3 separate regions of the Mus musculus genome follow, and all the other regions are reported to be linked to region 2. Evidence: microRNA targets listed by miRTarBase, many of them from high-throughput screens and not tested one by one. Region 2 holds a microRNA gene; each other region holds the end of a gene's coding sequence.
The links. The annotated mature microRNA mmu-miR-181a-5p reads AACAUUCAACGCUGUCGGUGAGU and lies in region 2 at 996-1,018, opposite strand. An mRNA with a match to its seed (bases 2 to 7 or 8) in the 3' UTR can be bound and repressed. Matches are read on the target gene's strand: a 7mer-m8 pairs with bases 2 to 8, a 7mer-A1 pairs with bases 2 to 7 and ends in A, and an 8mer does both.

Region 1: miRTarBase lists Slc7a11 as a target of mmu-miR-181a-5p. The part of its 3' UTR that is shown has no 7-base or 8-base seed match.
Region 3: miRTarBase lists Rbsn as a target of mmu-miR-181a-5p. The part of its 3' UTR that is shown has no 7-base or 8-base seed match.

The regions. Positions count from the first base shown.
Region 1 is chr3:50,369,704-50,372,887 of GRCm38, forward strand. Slc7a11 (solute carrier family 7 (cationic amino acid transporter, y+ system), member 11) reads right to left here. Exons shown (of 12, transcript NM_011990.2): 12 at 1-2,663. The coding sequence ends at 2,599. Among named protein-coding and RNA genes, the nearest start is that of Slc7a11, 72 kb to the right of the region's middle.
Region 2 is chr1:137,964,302-137,967,485 of GRCm38, reverse strand. Mir181a-1 (microRNA 181a-1) reads right to left here and starts at 1,031; the gene lies at 945-1,031. Mir181b-1 (microRNA 181b-1) reads right to left here and starts at 847; the gene lies at 768-847.
Region 3 is chr6:92,186,488-92,189,671 of GRCm38, reverse strand. It overlaps Rbsn (rabenosyn, RAB effector), which reads left to right. Exons shown (of 12, transcript NM_030081.3): 12 at 1-2,960. The coding sequence ends at 362. Among named protein-coding and RNA genes, the nearest start is that of Mrps25, 4.1 kb to the right of the region's middle.

The DNA.
Region 1 (3,184 bases), not on the chromosome of region 2:
ATATACATATATAAATCTAAAATATGAGAAACATTTACTTTGTATAAAAACACATATTACAAGTGTGGAGGAGTATTCCTGAATTTAAAACCTGTTTTATGGCCTCATTGCGTTACTTATGTCGACTCTTAGTTGTCGGGAATGGTAATCGAGACCCAGTGTCTGCTTCTCTCTCTCACCCTCACCCTCTAAGCAATTGATATCATGCGTGAGTGCATCTCCATCCATGTTGTCCAGGCTGGTGTCCAGATCAGCAATGCCTACTGGAAGCTCTACTGCCTGGTACATGGCATCCAGCCTGATGGCCAGATGCCAAGTGACAAGACCATTGGGGGAGGAAATGACTCCTTCAACACCTTCTTCAGTGAGACAGGAGATGACAAGCATGTGCGTCAGGCAGTGTTCATAGACCTGGAACCCACAGTCATCAATGAAGTTCTCACTGACACCTACTGCCAGCTCTTCCACCCTGAGCAGCTCATCACAGGCAAGGAGGATGCTGCCAATAACTATGCCCGTGGCCGCTACACCACTGGCAAGGAGGTCATTGACCTTGTCCTGGACAGGATTCATAAGCTGGCTGACCAGTGCACGGATCTCCAGGGCTTCTTGGTTTTCCACAGCTTTGGTGGGGGAACTGGCTCTGTCTTCACCTCCCTGCTGATGGAGTGTCTCTCCGTTGATTATGGGCCCTGAATGTTGATCTGACAGAATTCCAGACCAACCTGGTACCCTACCCTCGTATCCACTTCCCTCTGGCCACTTATGCCCCTGTCATCTCTGCTGAGAAAGCCTACCATGAGCAGCTTTCTGTAGCAGAGATCACCAATGCCTGCTTTGAGCCAGCCAACCAGATGGTGAAATATGACCCTTGCCATGGTAAATACATGGCTTGCTGCCTGCTGTACCGTGGTTATGTGGGTCCCAAATAGTCAATGCTGCCATTGCCACCATCAAGACCAAGCACAGCATCCAGTTTATAGATTGGTGCCCCACTGGCTTCAAGGTTGGCATTAACTACCAGCCTCCCACTGTGGTACTTGGTGGTGACCTGGCCAATGCCCAGTTCAGGATAATTTTTTAAAACATTGTGGTTTTACGTGGTCAGAATATAAGAGATGAAATTAACTGTGACTATGCTGAGCATTTAATTTTTGGATGTTAGAAAAATATTTTGAAAATCCCACCATTGCATTAATTCCATTTGAATATGGCTACTGTTTTCTAACTCTGATTTAACATATGTAGCTAGCTGAACAACCGTACTGAAGACTCTCCTTCAATGGGTTTGGTCACATCTCCCTCTTTTGCAAATTGAATTATAACTAAAGTGAAGAAATGACTGAAACAGCCTAGATTTTCACGAAGCAGTGGCATTTCGTTCATAGTTTTTATGTAAATCTGCACTTTTCCTAATTGATCCAGATAGTTTTAACCAGAGGCATATTTTAACAGAACTGTAAAGAGAATGCACACACTGTCAAAAACTCATCACCAGGTGAAAACAGCCACAAAGTAAAAGTGAGTAATTACTAACACTGCATATAAATGGGGCTCATAAAGAGAAAGCCTGATACTTGGAGATTTATGGGCAATGTCTCCCATGCTGATGTTGTACTGTGATGAGGAAAACATTTTTGTCCACCAAGAAGTAAATTATCAAAGAGGTGGTTCACCAATGGATAGCATACCAAACTGTACACATTTTCAGGAAAAAAACAAACCACAATGAATGCACAGTGATGTTGCAAACACCGAGCTTCCTCACAATGAGCTATGATGAAGTTAACCTAACAAGTTCTCAATGATTTTAGTACAAACATAGTTCCTAGGATTGTGTCATGAATACTAACCCCTGGAAATACTTATTTTATGCATTTAGGAAAATTAGGGTGTATGTGTATTTCAATGGTAGAGTGCTTGTCTGGCTTTTGTAAAGCCCTGAATTTGATCTCAAGCTACACACACACACACACACACACACACACACACACACACACACACACACACACACACTCACACACACTACTCCCTCATCTTTTGTTCTGATGCTCTGAGTATAAGCCATTGAAAGATAAGTGACAGCCATGTTGATCACTAAGGGAAAAGAGTCCAATGTCAATATCAAAGTCATTCTACCTTCTTTGCTACAATAATGACATTTTTTTCCAGAAAAATAAAAAACAAAATACTTTCACAGTATAGATGTCCCCAGTAGGTAAAGCTATGTTTATAGACCTCATATATACAGAAACCATTTTGGTCTTCTGTTCAAGGTTCTCAGTCATGATAAGAAACGTGGTAGAGGAATGATAGCCCAGGTACCAAAGCCCTTAGGTTTTTTTTCCTTTCCCCCCAGCAGATAGGCACTAGACTCAAGAACTGTGAGCTTGCCTCACTGTATGACTTGCATATTAGCTTGCTACAAATACATGGAGTTACCAGTAAGTTGCTCAGAAATTAATTTGAATACGCTAGAGGATATGAATAGAGATAACTGATTCCTTTAGTCCATCATCAACGTTGTGTTTTCTTGAAATAAAAATCCATTTTGTATCTCAATCCTGGGCAGATGGCCAAGCTTTTGATGCATTAAGTTCATAATTCTTTAGAGTCTTCTGGTACAACTTCTAGTATAATCTGTAATGTTCTGGTTATTCTGTCTATAAAGAAATAAGGAGAAATTAAAATGCATGAAAATCACAGTGGCATAAAAATAGCAAAATGTGAATTATTTGGGGATGAATACTGAGAAGACACAGCTCCCTTCTTCACGGAGCACTTCCGAGAATTATTTACTTCATTACAATCCTATCATCCTCAATTAGTTGACTTGTCACTACTACAACATCCCATGATGCTTTCTCAGTAAGAATATATTAATATTTTGTATTCAAATAAGAAAATTTATTTATGAACCAGGAGGCTGAAAATATTTTGAGACAATGGAACCAAGATATAAATAAATGTTTACAAATATTCTTCATGTTCATGTTCAGCTCAAAATGGGTTTGTTCTTTTTTTTTTTTTTTTTTTTTTTTTTTTTACATAGGGGATAACAACCAAGTTCTCAGAACAGTCAGGAGGAGAATAGTATTTCCAGTGTCTAATCTGTAGTACTGTTCAGCAAATTATCTTAATTATCAAGACCTAGTCTGTCTCATGAGTAGAATGAGAAACTTGG
Region 2 (3,184 bases):
TTGGAGGTGATGAACCTTAATGACAGATGTTCTTTTTGAAATTATAGAGCCAAACTAGTTAGGAAACACACACACACACACACACACACACACACACACACACACACACACACACTTGCTTGAAGACAGTCCCTGGAATCAAGTCTACCATTTCAGAAGAAAGTAGAGGGTAAATAAAGATGATGAACTATAATCTTAAATCTGAGGTCTCTCTGGGGAAACAAATCTATTGCATGATTATAATGAGCCCCTGGATAACAAAGTACTTGGCTATTGAGGTACTATCCCTCTGCCTACCAATTCCATAGAGAGTAGAGCCATTTCAGCGATTCTTTATGCAGAGCAAAAGAATTCCCTCTTGCTTCAAGCCCATTTTGACCAAGAAATCTAATGAAAGATGAGGGGATGGTTATTTTCTGTGTAACAATGTGACGGATAACGGGGCAGGAAGTAAGATATTTCTTTGGTTCTTCCTCCCACCAGCACAGCAGAGCAGGAAGCCGTGCCAACCCAGGGCTACACAGTTGATTCTGGGCATCCAACACTTTAGCATTTTTAAGAAATGCCCCATTTGTAACCCCCAGGAGTATAGAAAAGCAGTATTCTTATATAAATTAGTGACTTCCTCACAGAAATAGGACTTGATATGAATTGAATAAACAAACCTGAAAGTTCAGACAGCAGAAGTTAAACCGAGAAACGGCGTTAATACCCCCAGGACCTCTATTAGGGAGGGAACGTCTGTTGATTGCGACAGCAAAAAGCGGGGCCACAGTTGCATTCATTGTTCAGTGAGCTTTTCTACACAGTTCAACCCACCGACAGCAATGAATGTTGATTGTGACCTTTGTAAACATAGTCTCTGAAGAGGCGGGGAGAATCCTGTCGGGTCCTGCTTTGCGGTTCTGTCTTCAGCAAACGCAGAGGGCCATGGAGTAGATGATGGTTAGCTATAGGGTACAATCAACGGTCGATGGTTTTTATTTGAATTCCAAACTCACCGACAGCGTTGAATGTTCACTGAAGCAACCTGTGAGGCAGAGATGTGCTGATTTAAACAGTATCTGTGGGAGTCTGGAGCAGGAGGGAGGCAGAGGAAAGCCCAATCCTTTAACCAAACCTGTCACACATTTTAAACCATTTCAAAAGAGTACAGAAGAAAAGAAGCAGGATTCCTCCAGCCCAGAGCTTGGCAAACCTCCACTTTGTGCTGTGTCAAAGAAAAGAATCGGATTTTTTTTTTTCAAAAGGGAAGAAAAGTCCTTTTGGGGGGAGCTTAGTTACAGGCTGTTAAAGACAGGGAGAATTTATCATTCAACAAAATTGGAACTATCAAAAAGCAAAACAAATAGTATCTAAGTATCTCATAATTTAAATATTGGTATGTATATAATAAGAACTGCAAGGACGCATGTAGGTCATGCAGAATCAAGCAGAAACCACTTAGGTTTTCTCAAGTTACATTGCTAACAATTTTGAACTTCTATGTTTACAATGTGCATGGAATAAGCATTTATTTTACAATAGGCATTTTAATTAGTATAATTTCTTTTAAACATACTTATTTTTAAAACAATCAAGGAATCAAACCAATTTAGCACATCTTTCTTTGCTTATGACACAAGACTTTAAACTACAATGAAAATTAATACAACCTATGCCTACTGCCTGAAATTCAACTCCTCTCACTTTGGTTATTATATCCTAATATTGTTATTTGTTTTGATTGAGTGGATCTGGCAGTAACTTCTATCCATTTCCTAGGTGTTCTTGAAATGAAGTGCATTTACAAGTTAGTATGAACTCTATTGAGCATGTCTTCAAAACTGATTTCAAATATCAACTTAAACAAAAATCCCTTTGTACTCCTCAAAACTAGGGTAGAAAGTTACTACATTATACTTATGTAGACTCTTAAGTGGCTTTAATAAGTATATATATATATATATATATATATATATATATATATATATATATATGTGTGTGTGTGTGTGTGTGTGTGTGTGTGTGTGTGTGTGTGTGTGTGTAACTATTAATAAAATATTGGTGAACCATTCAGTCCAAATTTTTATACATATTCATTTTATTTACTTAGAATATTGTATGCTAAACCTGTAATCATTTATTATCTTGTACACGAAGAGATTACAGGACAAGTGTCTCTGGCTGGTATTTTGAGGTAGATAAGGTAACGATCTGCTGATGGCATGCATTCAGACTTCAGATAGTTACAAGACATAAAACTGATGAATCTGAATAGTCCTGTGTGGCTTCCTTTGAGATAGCTTTCCTGCAGAGGGCTGTCTCTTGTGGAAGGAAAGCAAGTCTTCCTGGGACCATCTGTGTTATCAGTTTCACCAGAATGCATGTTGCTCATGTTCCCTTGCTTGACCACTGCACTATCATATTCAGGCCAGCATCCCATTGCTTCTATACATACCTGTCATTGCTTTTGATATCATTTTTTCAAGGCTGCTGAGCTGAGACTCTAAGCCATGATCATTGCCTTATCTCAATATACAAAATTGGAACTACGATCAAGCAATTTCCATCCGAATCACAATTAATAGCAAAGCACCGCAATGTGAGGGGTTTCCAGAACCTTCTAAAATTCTCTGTAGAAAATATAAGTCCAAATTTCTCAAATTCTTAGAATAAAATTACGGAGAATACTATCATGAAGTTCTTAGGAGATTGAAAGTGATTGGTGTTTAGTAAGAAATTAGATTAAACATCACATCACTGACATATTTTAACTCCTATTTATCCAATGAAACATGTACTTTTCTCATGGCTATAGTTTTTGATGAGAAAAACCTCTCAATAACTTAAACTCACTCTCCATGAGGAAAAGCACCTCTGCTCTTGCTGCACCTGCCTCACAGTAAGAGAATAACTTCAGGACGGTATTCTACAGGGGAAAGATGTCTACTTGCTGATTTAGCTTACCTTTCCTCGGCTTTCTACAATGCTGGTTCCAATCACTATTTTACTAGCTAACCTTGTCTGCACTGTTATTTTCCAAATTTGATAATTGGCTGGAATATTAATGTTGGACAGTATTGAAATTTTACATTTTCTGTCAGGTGTCGAGTCTTATTTGACTATTTTTAGAAAATGTTAAGATTCCAGGATTCTAAATTGGTGTTAACCATCTGCTTCCTTGCAGTTTTTCCTGAATCAA
Region 3 (3,184 bases), not on the chromosome of region 2:
AGGAAGATGCTGAGGAAGAGGAGGTGGCAGAGTTGGGGGCAGGAAATCCCTTCACCGACCCAGACAGTCCAGCACCCAACCCTTTTGATGAGGATGACGGTCCCAGGCCTGCCAGTCCAGCCGCCCCTGGAAACCCTTTTGAAGAGTGCCCCTCCACCAACCCCTTCGAGGTGGACAGTGATAGTGGCATGGAGGCCGAGGAACACATCGAGGAGGAGCTGCTCCTGCAGCAAATTGACAACATCAAGGCTTACATCTTTGATGCCAAGCAGTGTGGGCGAATGGACGAGGTTGAGGTTCTAACGGAGAACCTCCGGGAGCTGAAGTGCACCCTGGCTAAGCAGAAGGGGGCCCCTAATTGACAGCAATGGGCAGGAACTGGGCAGAGTCTTGGGCAGCAGGATATCAAGTGTGAGGTGGGGATGGGCAGGCATCTGAACACACACAGGTTGGGGTGGGAACAGTAGTCTCTTGCTGTGCACTTTGAGACATTTCCACTACAGTTGAGCAAGAACGGGAAAAACAATCGGCATTCATGTGCTGGTTTTTCTGTATTCTTTTTTTAATGAAGTATTCCATTTTCAGGGGACTTTACCATTTTATTTTCAAGATACAGCTCTGTTGGGCCAAGGCAGAAATGGCTCATGGGCACCTCTTAGTTCATTTTCTGCGGACTGTTGTTGGTCATTATGCAGTATTATAGGGCAGCCCTTGACAGGCCCTTCCTGTAGCCAGGATAGGCAGGGCTCTAGCAGAAGTCTGTCCTGACTTGGTTGTTCCCTTTCAGCACGTCACTTAGGGAGATACTGCTGTGAAGCCCAGTGGGACCAGGGCCTCTTTATGGATGGCAGGAATGTTGCCAGTGTTGTCCCCTCCCAGTTAAAGGAAGTAAAATTCCCAAGTGTGAGGGTAGTGGGCTGGTGGTGTCAGTGTGAGCTTGACTGTGAGATAGTAGTGTTCAACTTTTTGGCGGATGTTATGGTTTGGAGAAGTTTCTACTTATGCAGCTGTCTGATCCCCTGGGAACCTCCTTCCAGGTCTTTGGTAGAATGACCGTTCTGCAGGTCACATTCAAGGGCCTGTTGATTTGGAATTGTGACTGGGAAGCTTCTGTGGAGTATTAGCAGGTGATGGAACACTTCTGAGTCAGGATGATTCTAGTAACTTCAAGGCCCTCCAGTCAGCCCTCTTCCTTGTGGTTTATCCTGACCTGGGAAACTGGTAAGATGTACTGAGAAATGGAAATATTTGAGGCACAGCCTGAGACCATTCCACAGCCCTGAAGTACTTGAACTCTTGATAGAAAACAGAAAGGGAAGTTATGTAGCTTAGTACTTTGGTTTACAGGAACAGATCGATTGACAGATGACCTTGTAAGGTTCTTGGTGTGCTCAGCTCTGGGTAATTTCTTTGGTGATGATACTCTTTAGTTAATGGACAATAACTGTCCACTAGTCACTTTCCCCTCAGCTTTCTCTGGGCCATGCCTTTTGTTGGTTACTGGTGTATAAGCTGAAAGTCTTCTGTCACATTCTGGTGAAGATCCATCTAGGTGGTAAGAATGTTATCTGGGTGCAAAGATCTCTATGTTGGCAGCTTTAATCCCAGTTCATTAGTACATGTTGGGGCTTTGGCTGGATAGAGAGCCCTGTATGGGGCTATGGGAAGGGCTGGAGAAGGAGGGAGCGTATGAACCCTTTGAGTTCTGCTGACAGGTGTTTACTGGCCTGCTAGTAGATTACCAGCCATTTGCCAGCTCTGTTGGTGTCAAGATGTTCTGGAAGGTAGGCAGCCTGGCATTTTATGTTACCTGGGGCAGGCTACCTCTTTCTAAAGCCCAGGCTCCAGGCATGCCCACCATATCTGCCCTGCTTGGTCTGCTATTGTGTCATGGACAAAGAGGCAGTGCTAACACAAGAATGAAGCTAAATTCTGGTTTCCACCATTACTTTTCCAGACTCAAATCAGGTGTTCAGGGTGGTACAACTGTAGACAATGCTTTTCTTATAAGACTGGGCTTCTTAATTAGCTGTGAGTGACTCGATGGGCAGTAGTGGCACATGACTTTTATCCCAGCACTTGGGAAGTAGAGGCAGGAATTTCTGAGTTCCAATCCAGCCTGGTCTACAGAGTGAGTTCCAGGACAGCCAGGGCTACACAGAGAAACCCTGTCTCAAAAAACAAACAAATAAATAAATAAACAAAAATAAAAATTGAGAAAAAAATTATCTAGTGACTTATTAAATGTACTTCTTTCTGGAACTCACCCCAGGTAGCAGTCTGACTGAGAGCATGGAGAAAACAAATGCTTTTAGACTGACTGACTATTAAACCGGGTGAACCCAGATCCCAGAGGGTTTCCTGAGTTTCTCATTGAATTCCTCGCTGACCATATTCTGAAAGTCCAACAGAACACGAGAGACTTGTCTGCCCCTTGTCTGGATCAGCTCCCAGAATGCATGCAGGTCAGAGTTGGTTTGCAGAGGGGGTTTGGCCTGTGAGGGAACCACAGTGCCAGCTTCTTACCGTGGGTGAATACTCGATGATTCCCAAGGATGGAGCACGTCCTTGATACGGTGTTGGCAGATCCCTTAGGTGTAGGTCCTGTTCATAGTGGACAGGCTTCTTGCTTATTCCCTTCTAACAACACTAAGGAACTGGAGCCTCATCACTGCACTTACCACATATCATGTCTTTGTCGTCAGACAGTAAAACATCTTTCTAAGTCATCATGAGCCATATTGTGTAGCTATGCCATGCGGTTCAAATTGTGGAATTGGCCTCGGTACGAGGTCAGACTAGAGGAGCTCGGTGTGCTGGTAATCATGATGACTGTCAGCAAGATGGTCATTGATGCGCATGCACTACACTGGGGCCTTGTATTAGAGGCTTTTATTAAAAACATTAAAATATCATTTATGTAAGGCTTTTATTAAAAAAATAACATGTTCATGGCTGGACTTGTGTGTGCTTAAAACGTCCCTTCACTTCCTTTTTGTAATGTGTGTGTGAATGTTTGCATGTGCACATGGAGGGGTGTGTGTGTGTGTGAGTGAGTGAATGTTTGCATGTGCACGTGGAGACCAGAGGACAACCTTGGGTATTAGTCTTAGGAAACCCATCCGCCTTTTAGGCAGGGTTTCTCATCCTGAAGCTTTCCAGTTAGGCTAGACTGGCTGGTCAT